2 linked regions of the Arabidopsis thaliana genome follow. The protein of the gene in region 2 interacts with the protein of the main gene of each other region in a pairwise test. Each region holds a gene or a part of one and is shown on either strand. Other genes may lie near its edges.

Region 1 (8,303 bases), on a different chromosome or scaffold from region 2:
AAATATCACTGTTTTGATATGTATGGATCATTGTCTTTCAGAATTTTCATTCTCTATAAATATCACAAAGTGAAACCTTCTATTACACTCATAAAACACTCTTGAACTATCTAAACTCATATTTGACATAAGAAAAAGGCATCAATCATCATGAGCATTTTGAAAGAAACAAAAAGGTTTATGGTCGTGGCAATGTTCATAGCATGTGTGTTCATAAGCAACAACATGAACGTAGCAGTTGCAAATGAGATTGGCTATCCAGGAATGGGACGCGGCGATCGCCAACCAGGATGTGATCATGGCAACTGTCCACCCGATCAACCGGCGAATCCGTACCATCGAGGATGTGAAAAATCAAAGAGATGTCGTGGTCCAGATCCACCAGCTCTTCCTCGAAAGATGATATAATACAACAAAAACTAAAAAACAGTTTCAATTATAACAATGTAACCAAGCCCCATGGATAAAAAAAACTAATGTTTTGCGTTCGTTTAGTTCAAACTATTTTCTTATGTCTATTTCCTAAATTATACAAACTATGAATTCAGTTATTGGCTTCACAAACATGAAACACCAATGCCTAATTATGTCTGAACCAATTCTGGTTACTGAAAATATGTTTAAAACGTGAATCTTGTTGTACAATGTTACTATCTGATATACTTGTTTAAATGTCTCATAAAGTAGAGTAATGAGAAGAACAAGAGATGATGTAGATACTTCCATATATTCAATACAGTTCCAATATCAAGAAAAAAACCATTCTTCAACGAGGATCTAGAACTGTGTTGATACATCATTGTTAATTAGAACAAGGAATAGACCTGCTTGTGGATTGGTCATTCATGTTTGAGAGGCAAACGGTAATTGTCTATGTTACTAGTGAGCATCACGACTATTGCTGCAGGCAACATTGGTCGATCTACAGGATCTTCTTGAACGCATAAAAGTGCGATATGGATGCATCTAATAATAGCCTCGTTACTCCGAGAACTCTCTCCCATTGTCGGATCCACAAGTTCAAAAGGTGACCCTGTTCTCCAAAGCTTCCAAGCCTAACAAAAGTGATCAAATAAATTAATATCCTTTGGCTTAATCATATACACTCATATAACTTGAACGATCATATACTCACATGAGTGACCAAATTGCTAGGAGAACCATCAATGTAGTAGAAGCTGCGATTCGTTTTACCACTTATAATCTCTAGAATCATTACACCAAAGCTATAGACATCAGATTTCATGGAGAAATGACTACGCATTGCATATTCTGGAGACATATAACCACTGCAAATAAGGATTAGACTTTTTAGCCTAGAAGTAACCACCAAATATAGTTTGTATTTGTAAGGTTATAAGTTAAGAGAAAAAAAAAATCACTATGTTCCAACGATTCTAATTGTGTAATTGGCATGACTTTGATCAATTCTGTAAATCCTAGCCATGCCAAAATCTGCAATTTTGGGTTTCATGTCGACATCTAAGAGAATATTACTCGCTTTGAGATCACGGTGTATGATTGTAAGCCGTAAATCTTGATGAAGATATAGAATTCCTCGAGCAATCCCCCCAATGATATTGTACCGTCTTGTCCAATCTAGTTCACCTTGTTTTGCAGGGTCTGTACATTTGCAAGTATATGACTCATTAGCAACAATAAGGACATCTTGGAACTTAAAAGTATCTAAGCTCATAACATACCAAAGAGGAAATAGTCAAGGCTTTTGTTAGGTACAAATTAACTCGTAAACGTTTATTTTTTCTTGTCCTTCCAAACAAAATCCAGAGAAAGAAATGTTGGAATAACGTACCATACAACAATCTGGCCATGTCTAAGCTTCTGTTTGGTTAAGATATCTCCTTAATAAGCCGTCTGATGCGCCTTTGATACAATCTGAACAAGTCTCTTGTTTAGTCCCAGGGATGCACATACTATTGATGAAGCCTCTATTGGGGTCTTGACCAATCGAGGAGTTATAGAATCCCTTGTGAGTTGTGACATTAGTAGCAAGAGAAGAAAAGATTAGGCGACGGTTTAAGTCGTAAGTAGCATTGGGTTTAAAGTAGCTATTGAAGCAGACTTGTGCAGAAACAACATCTAACCTTACAAGGAAAGAACAAAAGATTAGAACAAATGAACTCTTGAGTTTCTTCTCTCAAGATCAGAACCAAAGACTGTGTTAAATGTTCAAAGTTAGAAGGTTTATCCTCCGAAGATTTTCCATGACAGATAGGACCGTTGATTTTGACAAAAAAAAGAGTTAGAAGTAATAATCAAAACCACAATGTCCATTCCCCACCAATAATATGGATTCATAATACTCAATATAATAACTAAACAAGTAGAGTGTGCTGCCAAAAAAAGAAGCAAGTAGAGTGTGAATTGGTCAGAAAACTCCCATGTTATGTCGCTCCATTTTACATTAGATTTGCAGAGATCCAAACAAAAAAAAAAAAAGAAAAGGAAAACGTGCATTAAGTTAGCCAATTGAGAGACCTTATAGAAGTCAGCAGACCAAATTTGGAGACAAATGGAGTCAGCAGCCAAACTTGACTAGCCAAAATTTACATGTACATTAGTTTTCAATCCTCCAACCAATACAAAAGAAACAAATTCAAACCCCAACAAAAGATAGCCAAGGAGACATCATTATAAAACCGTAAACAGAAATCGGTTAAAATCATACAAACCAATTTGATTTCCGGTTAGAACTTTCAAAAACACCAATCTTTGAGTTATATAAAACCTGCTTGAGTCAGCTTATCTTCGAACTTCGCTTGAACAGAGGAAACCCTGTAAGAGAGAGTTTCAATGTATTTTAGTAACACTGTATGACTCAACACAACAAAAGTAAAAAGTGCTAAGAGAAATTATAGAAACACCTCGGATATGAAGTAACTGTCATCTTCAGCGAGGAACTAAGTCATCAATCAATGAATCGTTGACAGAACCAGGAAGAGATTTGATAGAAGGTAGAAACATGTCCATTCCCTCATATACCGGTGACTGAGGCACCGGTAAAGTGATGGAGTTACTTGTGAGCATCATGATGATAGTAGATAAATTCGGACGTTGTTCTGGATCATTTTGAACACATAATAGCGCGATATGGATGCATCTGAAGACTTCATTACTCTGATAATTCTTTTCGAGTTCTGAATCCACAAGCTCTAATGGTGATCCGTTTCTCCAATGCCTCCAAGCCTACCACAATGATCACTAGTAGTCAAAACCTTACGTTACATTGCATGGTTAAAAAAGTAGAGTCTTTCCAAAGTTTAGTTTTTAATGCTCACATATGTGACCAAATTCTTTCCGGATTCATCAGTTTCATGGAAGTTGCTGTTTCTTTTTCCACTTATAATCTCAAGAACCAAGACTCCAAAACTATAGACATCAGATTTCACCGAGAACTGGCCATGCATCAAATACTCTGGAGATATGTAGCCACTAGAAAGAAAACAAAAAATAATTCTTGAGTTTACCAGTGACAAAAAGGTCATCAAAACTTCAGAGATTGAAAGGCAAAAAAGAAGAAAGGGTACTTACTGGGTTCCAACTACCCTTCTTGTATCCGCTCGAGATTGATCCACCCTAAAAATTCTTGCCATTCCAAAATCTGCGACTTTGGGTTCCATTTCAGCATCTAAGAGGATGTTACTAGCTTTGAGGTCACGGTGTATGATTTTGAGGGGTGAGTCATGATGAAGATATAGAATTCCTCTAGCAGTTCCAACAATAATCTTGTACCGTTTCGCCCAATCCAGTTGGCCTTTCTTTGTAGGTTCTGTGTAAGTCAATTAAAATAAGTTTCAAGAACTGCAACTTCATCATTAGAACTTCAAAAACTATGAGCTGAGTGTTATATGCAAAATACCAAACAAGAACTGGTCGAGGCTTTTGTTGGGAACAAATTCGTATACGAGTATCTTTTCTTCTCCTTCCATACAAAACCCGAGAACTCCAACCAAATTTCTGTGCTGAAGCTTTGCCACGAGACTAGTCTCATTCTGGAACTCTTGTACACCTTGAGCTGATTCTTTTGACAGCCTCTTCACTGCAATTTCTGATCCGTCTTGAAGCACACCCTACAAATAATAAAGAGAATAAGATCATCACACCACCTATATTCATTAATGGAAGTTGAGAAGATTTACCTTGAAAACTTCTCCAAATCCACCTTGACCAAGCATGTTGCACTTTGAAAAGGTACATGTTGCAGCTTCAATTGTCTTAAGATCATACTGCAGTGAATATTTAGGTGATTCCTCTGCTACACAGAAATGTCATATTATTCCTTGCAACATGGAAGTACGTACACATAACAAATCTAAACCATGATGATATGTTTTCATATTCACCAAAGTTTTTCATTTTTCTAATAAACATTGGTTAGCTAATAAGAAGTTTTAGATAGTTGACCATTGAACTGAATAAACTATTCCTAGTTAAAATTCCCTTGTCCCGGCATCATGCAGTGTTCCTGATTAAGCATGCATGCCTTATTGTTCTTAAAGAAAAAGAAATCAGTGAGTAAAATACGAATCAACTCACCTGGAGGATCAGTTTTTCTCTTTCTGCAAACAAGTACTACTACTAAAGTAGATAGCACAGAGATGACAACTCCGGTGGCAACAACAATGGCCACAAAGAATCCAACTGAGATATTCCTTTTGCTACCTGGGCATAGTAGAATCACAGAGGATAGTTTACAATAGAGAAAATGCATCATCCAGTGATTGAATCTGTTTCAAACCTTTCTCAAACTATTGGTCAGCAACTTAGCAGAATGATACGTTCTTAGAATCATATTTTTTCTTTTAGTTGAGGAATTACCTGGCGGGGGTGAAAGTGTCAAATTAAAAGCTCCGATGAAGGGATACAGATCCCACCGAAAACAGCAGCTTGGCCATGCAACAATTCCTCTTTGCATCCTAAGGTTGCCATATTCAGAAACAGCTTTTTCCAGACAGTTGTGACAAGCACCTTTTTCTAGATCAGGAGTGCATAGCATTAATGCATATATATTCTGGAAATTTGTCAGATTTGTTACATTAGCTGCATAATATCTACGACTAGATAATGATGCATTATAATCCGAGGATGCGTCAGACATCAAACGATCCGTTAGAGCCTCCCATATCGTATTTAAATATGTCAAATTTGATTTGATATCCACATTACTATGCTCCATGTAAAGTGGGTGCAATCCAACCCTCTTGAAGAATGAACTGTTAGAGTAACGAGCAAAACAGAGCGTCTTATGAGGTGTCCATGTATACGCTTCAGTTTGGTTAGGACAATTCTCTTGTAATTGGTCGGCCGCGACCTTGAGACAATCGGAGCAAACCGTAGGTTCGGTCCCGTCGATGCACATCCCCATTACGTGCACTTCGTCAGGAACTTTGCCGATGGAAGAATTGTAGAAGCCGTAGTGATCCACCACTTTGGAAGCAAGAGATGTAAGGATCTGCCTACGGTTGGTGTCGTAAGTTTTCCAAGGTTCAAAATACCCAGTTTCGTTGCATTGTTGCGAAGAAATAGCACCAATTATGCTTATGAGAACAACCCAGAAGATCAAAAAGGAAATCTTCTTGGTCTTTCTCATGATTTTACAAATGTGTTTGGGGTTAGTATGTACATATCCGTACACTTCATATCAGTTAAATAGCAATTGAGTTCTCTCAGCAAGTTGTCAAACTTAAAATATCCAAGGCATTATAAAAGCTAAGTCAGAGCATAGACAAAATCAGAGAACCAATCAAAGCAATGAGCTGATGTGTTATATGTTTATTAAAAGAATGTTGAAGTTTCAAAAATGTTAATGATGTGAGATGCACCCAGACTACACGCCCACTATGCTTGTTGAATGAATCTCCTCAACGTAACACAACGAAGCAGAGTGATATGAGTTAAATAACCAACAAATTGAGCAATCCAAAGACCCAAATTAGTAATATTTTGACAATTTCAATAGCTTATCTTATTACTTTCTCAGCACAAACAGTAATACAAAACCATTGTTTTACTAGAGGCATTGTTGACAATGGGTTTAAAGTAAAGATTAAAGAATGACCTGACTGAATCCAAGTTTCGAACCCCCACGGAAAAAAAAATACAGGCTACTTGAAGCATCAAGACGATTGTCGGACAGCATTACATTTCCATTGGCATATGTCTAATTAAGACAACTCCATCAGACGCTTCCATGGTACAATCCAGTGGCGGATCTAGAAAAATATTTAATCTGGGGCACTATTAATTTACTTATTATATATTATTTTTTATCAAAATTATTATATATACTATTCGTTATTAAACTATAAGTTTGTGATAAAATATGTAGTTCAATAAATTCTGTAATTTGTTTCTCACAATTTATATAGGTACCCAAAAAAAAACTATGAAATTGTGTTCATATAACTTTGTTATTCATTTTCACATAAAAGTAAATGAATAGATATATCAAACATTTTAGAAATATATCAATACACATATACTATCTAATCAATTAATAAAGAAATTTTAAAAGAAAGTTAAAAGTGGATGTTCATAAATCAAAGGAAGAAATAAGTGATTAAATTGATAAAATTGGGGGAAAAAATGAGCAAAGTCAAAAAAAGAAAAAAGTTACTTCAACTAGTCTCGAACCTGGGTAAGGATGGACGAATATTGAAAACACTTAACCAGTTGTGCTGAATCATTTAAACTGCATAAGTTTACAAGCTAATACTTATAATTTAATGTAGGGCACGTGCCCCACATCCCATACACCTAGATCCGCCCCTGGTACAATCTGAGCACGACTCTGCTATTGGCACATGGATTACGCATCCTCCCACTCGAAGAATTGAAGAAGCCATCACGAGCCGTGACATTAGAAGCTCTACGAGAACTGATTGGAATGGAACAAGGTAACAGGGAACGAACCAATCAACGGCCAGGAAACCCTAACTTCCATAAGAAATTTCTCGTCGTTTAACAAATCAGAATTAGGCGGAACAACGGTAGAATCGTGAACCCCGGTTGGACATTTATACAATAACCGGTTTGGTTATACATAATCAGATTATATAACCGGTTTAGTACATTGGTAGGAACCGATTTGCTAAACAACTTCAAGCTCATGAGGCTGTCGCACTGAAAGAGTGTGTTTGCTAGTAGTGAGCATTAGTGCGGTAACTCAACGGAGCAAGGAGAAACAATTGAATGTGATTCCCAAAGTTTTAGAAAATTTTTCTTTACAAAATAGGCCCTCAATTATTTTTTTTCTTCTATAAATAGGCCCCAAGTTTTAAGATTACAACAAAACCCTTTACCAAAGCTCCCTCCTACAACTGGACCACATATGCTAAACCATAGAGTTGGATGCATAAAACAAGAAATTATGAGGGTGTAAAGAACTTTGAAAAGTTGTAATCTGTTTGGACTAGTGACAATTCATTGCTAATGTTTTCACAATATATTTTTCTATTGTTGATTGGCAGGCCCGACCCATCCTTGATCGTGGGATCAAACGACCACAACTTCTACTTACTTCGTTCCTTCTTTTTTTTTGCTGCAAATTACCCTTTTTCTTAGCAATTTTTTTCTTTTCACGTTTCTATAGTGTTTGTTTTGTTTCACGTTCAGATAATGCTTATAGTATTTTTTCCCTTTCATGTTTTATAGATTATTAATATTAAACGTTTATTGTTAGTATATTTTGGAAAGACCACATACTAAAAATGTTTTAAGCCCCACAACCTAGGATCGGCTCTGTTGATTGGTAAATCAGTTTGGTTCGTACCAGTTTTTTTTTGGTGTGAAGGTTCTTACTAGCTTTTTGTATGTAATTATGTATGTTACTTTCATTTGCTGTAAATACATTCTATTCTTTTCTTTTTTTGTCGTAAATACATTCTATTCTTTAAAATCTTCTATGTTTTATCTAAATAGGTTTTTAAAAATAAATAAATAAATAAATATATATATATATATATAGAAAAGAGACTAGAATAAAAGAAAAAATGTATGGTATTAATGTATTATCCAAAGACGAGTTATGCAGTCTCCGAAATACATTTGATTTTTTATTATTATTTTTGAATTTCACATTGTTTCAACAAATTTTAAGGCGAACATATATCTTTTTTTTAATTTCTCCTCTTACTTAAATCACCCATCAAAAAGTTTTTTTTTGTAATTTAATGGTGTTAACTGAAATTATTGTGTGGTTCTAACTTCTAAGACTCCTTAATTAGATAAGGAAAAAAATTGGAATCAATCCTTTAACAAAAAAATGGAATTAATGGAGAACC
Region 2 (7,449 bases):
ATATGATGTTGTTGGACACAAATTTTTTGTGTCAAGCGCTTTAACATTTGCACTTTTTCATTAATAGTTTTTTTTTTTTTTTGTTGAAAGACCTTTATGCCTTAAAATCTAAATAGTAAATACTAAGTCCTAAACCTCAAAAACTAATATGTACGGTATATACGTTTTCTTAAATGTGGGGACTGGGGTACTTAATTTGCTTGCATACATGCATTTAGGAATAGCAAAAGCATAACTTCTAGTTGGTAGGCTCTATCTTGGTGTCGTCTGTCGTCGTTAATAAAATGTTGACCCCATTGTGTTTCTTATGAATTATTGATTCAATTTAATGTGTGAAAGAAACGGTATCTACTTTATTTTAATTTTAGTTTAACAATTGAATTGACTGCTATCGTTATAGATTTCTATCTCAAGGGTATTTTTATGCCAAATTTCGTCTATAATGAGTGTCTATGATGAAGGTCTTCGATATTGGTTTCATGTCCGCAGCCACTAGCTCTCCCATTTTGATGTAATTCTCAGTTTTTGATTGGTCTTTATTCTCAATTCTCTATGACGCATTGATTGTACAAACTTTCTTTTTGGTGATTAAATTTTATATTTATACAAATATATATTATTAAGGTTTTTGCCTTTTTTTTTTTTTTTTTTGGTGATAGTTGTCACTACTCTTTTTCACGTAAATTAAGAGATAAACATATTGCTTAAAATTACTTAATCTGATTTCACAATCACAAATTTTGGTCTCGACATTGATAAGTTTTCTTTAAGCATTTTACTCTTTACATTTGATTTATGATTGTGAAATTCTATACATAATTTGTGATATTTTACCTGATGATGCATGATTGAGTAGTTTAGTTGTGTAAGGCTTGCTTCCTAAATTCAAACGTGAGTTTAAAATCTTAAAATGGTATTCATAAAATTTATTGATGCGAGAGTAGAATAATCTTACACCCATGATTTGAATTGTAGAACAGTTTCAAGTTATTTTCTCAACTGCATGGTCTCTGTGGATTCGATTCTACTGTATATTTGTGGTTAAAATATGACAAAGAAATCAAAAGCTTATATACAGATTTTTGACACATAAACTTTGCGTGGGGACTGGGGATACAGGCTACAGTTGACTAGAAGTTTGGCTTCTACATCACTAACTATATTATAGAAAATATATTTAATATTTATTATGTAAATAGAATGATATTTTTTCATAAACAAGTTTGGCAAAACCTGTTGGACATGGGCTCACCTTTTCTATATCATTTGGTCAAAAGAGAGATTTAAGTGTTCAATGGACCCATTGTCTTCACCAAATCAGCCCATTAAACGTCAAAGGCAAAACAGTAATTTACAGAAGGAGTAGAAGAATCTTTAGGTCAGAAAATTTGTCCTATAAATAAAGCACTATTTGCGAAATAGTGATACACAAGTTAATTCCCAGAGAATCAGGACAATATTCATACTAAAAAACCTTGTCTTTCGGTTCGTTTTGTTCTCGGTTCGTTTTTGTTCTCGGTTCGTTTTGTTCTCAATTCGATTCATATTACGTTGCCGATCGATAGAAATTACTTGTAATTATTTGATCAACCTGTTGTTTACCGTTTTCATTCGTCATCTAATAAAAATTACTTTGTTGTCCCTGACAATCCCTTACTTATTCGTTGTTACAACTTCGGTACAAACAAAACATCACCAAAGAAAAAATACTATCTTTGCAAGAATTGATGTAAATCTCTATAAACGGACCTCGCTAAGTCTCGTAGTATGCTTTGTATTTTATCTATGGAGAATCTACGAATTGATGCCGGAGAAGATATCAACTAACAACATCAAGAGCATTAGACGATTATGGAGTTTCATCCAAGAGATGATAGCCAAGAACGACAATCTCATCAATTTGAGATTGATTCTAGAAAAGGAAAGAAATGGGTTCACTATTTGGTTATTAACTTTCTCATCATTCTTGGAAATTCATCGGTTTCCAAAGCATTGTGGAAATTCATTTTCTCATCATTCTTTTTAATATTTGGTTATAAATGTGTGAATGTGTGTTTGAATCAATCTCTTGTATACGTTTAGTCTAGGTTGAACAATGTTTTTTTTTAATATTCCTCATTTGTTTTGCGATCTCTGTTTGTAACACCGTTTTTGGAAGTGTCTTGGAGGGAAAACATGGAGAAGCACCTCCTCCTCTTGGAGAAGCAATCTCGACTCCTGGAGGAGCAAAGTATTCTCCTGAAGAATCAAGCTCAAACTCTGGCCTATCAGTCTTCTTTCTAGAAGATCTTCGTGAACACCTTTGTAGCCGTGTGCCTTGGTGAATTTGCATCCATAGTGGTGCAGTATGATATCGTTCCCAAACCTTAGACGAATCCAAAAAATCAGTGAAAAGATGGAAGAGAAGATAAAGAAGATTAAGGTTCTTTGTAGGCTCTTTTCTAGGGTTCTTGAGTGTTCGATTGTGTATCCCTTTCTCGATGGCGGCTCATTCCTTTAGGGACGTGGTCTCCTTTCTCTACACACCAACAGTTATTCTAAATCATGCAAACCTCGTAAACGTTTTAAAAAAATCTAACATATTAATAAACTGTAAAGAGAGATAGAATTTCTCTTTTGATTTTAAGAACTCAATAATCAAATGTGATAAAATAGAACTAAAAGTCATCATATAGCTTAAGCCCCCCATACATCATATCCTCACAATGCCTAACAAAAGGAAGAATCTTCCCCGAGTTAGTTCCCCAGTCAGCTTCACATCCATGCGAAGGAGGAGTATGGTAACATGGCTCCATCGACTTGGATCGAACACACGGTGGATTAGGAGTGGTGAAATTTACTGGCTGATAAAGTAACCATGGCTTTAATCCTCCAAGACTGTATGAAACATATCCAAATGTAGACCATCCGCTTGTGACAATGTTATCGGTTAAACTCAAAAGATACATCTCAGCAAGCGCCTTTTGGTCGTGACTTTTCTTGTCTGTTTGCTGCACTCTTTCTGCACTTGGCTGATAAACTTCGATAATCTCTCCTGTAGAACTTGGCCTCGCTAAAAACATGTTAGTTAAGTTGACAGAGTACTCTGGATAGAGAGATGCGACAAGAACTACTTTAAGCTTTGGTGGTTTAGATATATTGACTTTTGATTCTTCTTCAAATTCAGGCAACAGTTTCTCTCTTTGTGTACATGCTACGACTTGGTCCATGACATGTTTGAAATATCCAGAAGGTTTTCCGAAAACCCTTATTTGAATCCCAAGTCTCTCGTCTGCATTGGACAAGTGAGCATCGTAGTACTTAGTGACCATATCCCAAACTTCATTTGTAGGGTGAAAAAGATACCGAGCCAAATGGTGAAAGACGGTTTCTTTCTGCGGGAATAGCTTAACTAGTTTGGTTTGGAAAGTTGGATTCAGCCATAAAGATGGAACAAAGTAAGCATTGGTTTGAATAATTAACCATGGGACTTTGTCGATAAAACTTTGATCCTTTTGGCAGAAGAACAGCTTATCACTATCCCTAGAATCATGGATGTTATGGAGATATAGATGTGGCGGAATTGAAGTCGAGTTGATGGCATGATTTTCCAACATTGTACCGTAACAACGAGGGTATTCCTTATTGTAGCCATAAGCATAAGTATAATTCAGCATTGGAAAGTCAAGCGGAAGCAACCATGAAGTACCTGGAAATGGCTCACATAAGAGATCACTAACATCCTTGCGGTTGTCAACAAGAATGATTCTCTCAGTCAAGATAGCGTAGAGAAACACGGAAGCAAGAGTAATTAATCTGTTTCCAAGCCCGTCCCTAGCTAGCCATACAATGTATCTGCATTCACCATTTGATTCGCTTGCATAGTACTCATCACGACTAAGCTTCTCTGTTGCTTCTTTGTAAGCCTTGGTATCCGGACCGCAACGTTTGTGAAGCATCTCATAGCTTCTAAGCTCAGAGACGAGATATTCCGAAGGCATGTATGGAGAAGGCTTGCGGTACAAGAAATATTTATGATACCTACTCAAGCAAGAACCTTCATCAAAATCCGCAGTTAAAAGCCCTCCTATAAGTTTATCCACCGGTCTTTCGGATTCCTTTATATCTATAACAAGAAAATGATATGAACTGAGGATTCATTGGGTTAACAATAAAACACAAGATATGGATAATTTTCTTACCTTTGGTTGTAGCATCAAGAAGTTGGTCGTTGAAGTATTTTGAGAATGATAGTATAATTAGTAAGCAACCAAAGACGACCGCGATCAGAATTTTCATCTTCAACCCCAAAGCCTTTGTTGGAGATATGAAATTTGTGTTAGTTGTTGACTTTCGTTTGATCGGTTATAAGTGTGAGATGATTCAAAAAGAGTTTACAACTTTTATATAGCTTGATTATAACTTCTATTATCAACCACAGATCATGTAAATAAGACTTCGAATATTTTAATGTGAATTGTTGAGTTGACTACACACGATCTCCGAACGTGATTCCAAATTTGTTTTGTTTATTGTTGAGTTACCAATAAAATTGTTTTTTGTTTTTGTTGTTAGAATTCCAAATTGTGATTTAGAAATAATTAACGAAAAAAATGTCAATAAGAGAGCTGTTGTGAATTAACGGGTGTTACAATATTGTAATCTTGGAATCTAAAGAAGTAGGGATTGTCTGGCACGTGGCGGAGCCAGCGTATCGATCCATCGGGGTCAAAAAAAAATTCTTTCTAAAACCGCATAAGTTATAAACTCAAGATTGAAGATTGAAACAAAGAAAAAAAATAAGAAAAAAGAAACTATAACGTTTTTAGAATACAAAAAATGTTAAATAATAGGTTAAAGTATATTAATGGGCTTAATTATAGTATATTTACTTTTAAAACAAAATATTATTGAGGTGAATTCTATATACAAGTACAATTACCTAAATACAATATAGTTGTTGGGCTTAACTATTAGAAGTCTTCTCAAGTAAATTGTTTTATAGGGGTCAATTTTCTTATTTGATTAGAGTCAATCTAACATATTAAATAAAACTTCAGCTAATTTTTTAAATTTAACCAGGGTCAATTGACCCATGTGACTCTATACTCCCTCCGCAGCATGCAAACTTGAATTAATATAGTGAAATATGCAACATTTTGTTACTGAACATATATTGAGATCTGTTTACATTCCCACTCTTCAAATATAATCACTTATTTTTTATCCATATAATGAATTAGATAAAGTCATGTGCATTGCTGAAACGATTTACCATAGTCAAATTCCTAAACTCGATTAACAAACGCTCAAAAAGATATTCCAAAACGATTGAACTGTAAGGCTCTAACATTACACGAATAGAACTATGGTTTGGTTTCCGCCTAGAACCTTTGACCAAGTCCATTATTACTCAACATATTTCTCATTTTTTTTAGTGAAAATTGCTTAGACTGACTCTAATCTTAATAGAAATAACTATTGTGACTCCCAATAATCGATGACTAACTATTATGACTCATATTTTAAGTTAAAAGACTATTTAACCTCAGTCAGTATTAAAACTATATTTTGATTAAAAAAAAAAAGAATTACTAATAAAAATAAATAAACAAATGTAAAAATAACAAAACTCAGAAATCCGGTTATGGAAACCACATTTCTATTTCTTATCAATTAAATTAATGTTGTCATAGCTTGTAAAGGAACGTACTAAGCAAATGGGCAAACTAAAAGTTAAGAACTTTAGTATGTAAAATTAAAAAGCCCTTCGCTCGTGTTTTCCAGTTCTTGTACACCGAAAAGTTAAGATCATGTTTTCGAGTAACACCGAAAAGTCTATTTCTTATCAATCCGTTGTAGTTCGTAAATCATTTTCCACATTTTATTTTTTATCAATTAAAGTAATATTGTCGTAGATTGTTTAAGAATGGCAGATTGTATGTTATCACTTTTGAATTATGAGGATTAGTAGGTTTTGGTGGGCTGTTTTCTGTGGTGATGTTATCGATTTTTTTTTTAAAGTTAAATTGAATCAAACCGATTTTAACATATAATCAAACCGGAAAGATTTTACTTGAGTAAAATTGCTTAGCTAATAAAACTCATGTAATAAAAAAATTAAAGATTTTAAAAACAAATCTGTTAACAAAAAATCTGTTATTACTAAAAAGGTTATTCTAGTGATAAACAAATCGGCCATAACATTGACATGAGAAAATCTGTTATGCTTTGACACTGAAAAACAAAACTGTTATCACTAAAAACAAATCTGTTATCACTATGTGACTGTGTAGTAATTGTAATTTTTAACAAAAATTTGTTGTAAAACACCAGATTTGTTAACAAGTTAATTAAATCTGTGATTACACAAAACAACTCTATCATGACTATATAACATTTTTCCGAGTTAACAAATCTGTTATAACACAACAGACTTTTGGTTACAAATAGAAAATCTGCTGCCACCATTAAGAAAAATCTACTGTATGGAAAACAAATCAGTGATAGATTTGATTTCAACATTCTAAATTTTGAAAGTTTAGAAAAATCTGTGGAGACTATATGAAACAAATCTGTCACAATAAACAAATCTGCGAAAAAATAAAAATATGTCGTAACTTAATCCAGTAAAATTTGTGGTACAAAACAAGTCTGTTGTAAAAAATATGTGGTTGACCAAAAAATCTGTGATCGAAAACAAATCTGTCGTAACAAGAGCCACAGATTTACCAAAAACGACGATGGCAGTTTCGTAAATAAATGTGGTTTTATTGCCATGCTGGAATTAAATAGTAATGGTATTTCTGTAATATTATTTTTTCTGCAAAGGAAAACAGGGATATTTTAGGCATAATTATTACCTATATAACTCATATTTTTACCATTCCTTTCTAGTTATTCTGAATGAAATATGAGTCACTCTACTAATTCTCCCTTTTTTTATAACTGTTTGATTTAATCCTCTCAGCAACCCCATTTTGATGTGGCAGCGTGTAAGTCTATGTTTTATACCTTACTATGCTTTTTTCTTTACAAAACTTGTGAAATTATAAATGATAATGGGAGACATCTAACAAGATGAATGTATCTTCTTGAGTCTCCTAAAACATCAGTCTCGCGTCGAATATATCACTTTGAATTGAGCAGATTCAGATAACAAGCCTTGTTTGTGAATCTTAATCAACTATAATTAGTTCCCGATTAGACATTGCTTAATAGGAATGAGATTTCCAAGAGAATGATGCAAAATAAAGAACACATATATTACGAGTTGGGATTCAAAACCAGAATCTTATGAAGATTGTTACAAGTTCTAACAAGTTTGTTACAAGCTATATAACTTCTCAAACCCTTATCCGATCTACGATACAACACGATAAAGAAAGAAGAAGAGACATGACTACATTTTAGCAATATTACAATCTACATGTGAAACTCACACTCGCAACCAAGAGAGAGGATAGCATA

What was found. Proteins that work in one complex are often made in the same cells at the same time.
Region 1: the proteins of FUT10 (region 2) and CRK33 interact in a protein complementation assay, tested with the Arabidopsis thaliana proteins (one large-scale study listed by BioGRID).

What each region holds. Positions count from the first base shown.
Region 1 is NC_003075.7:6,976,156-6,984,458, reverse strand, and holds CRK33 (cysteine-rich RLK (RECEPTOR-like protein kinase) 33), read right to left. Parts: upstream 5,612-8,303; coding exon 4,840-5,611; intron 4,684-4,839; coding exon 4,558-4,683; intron 4,274-4,557; coding exon 4,161-4,273; intron 4,092-4,160; coding exon 3,881-4,091; intron 3,791-3,880; coding exon 3,553-3,790; intron 3,454-3,552; coding exon 3,300-3,453; intron 3,208-3,299; coding exon 2,911-3,207; downstream 1-2,910. Other genes in the region: RALFL28 (ralf-like 28), read left to right, coding at 151-408.
Region 2 is NC_003071.7:6,685,483-6,692,931, forward strand, and holds FUT10 (fucosyltransferase 10), read right to left. Parts: upstream 4,338-7,449; 5' UTR 4,279-4,337; coding exon 4,182-4,278; intron 4,106-4,181; coding exon 2,658-4,105; 3' UTR 2,640-2,657; downstream 1-2,639. UniProt on the Arabidopsis thaliana protein: May be involved in cell wall biosynthesis. May act as a fucosyltransferase.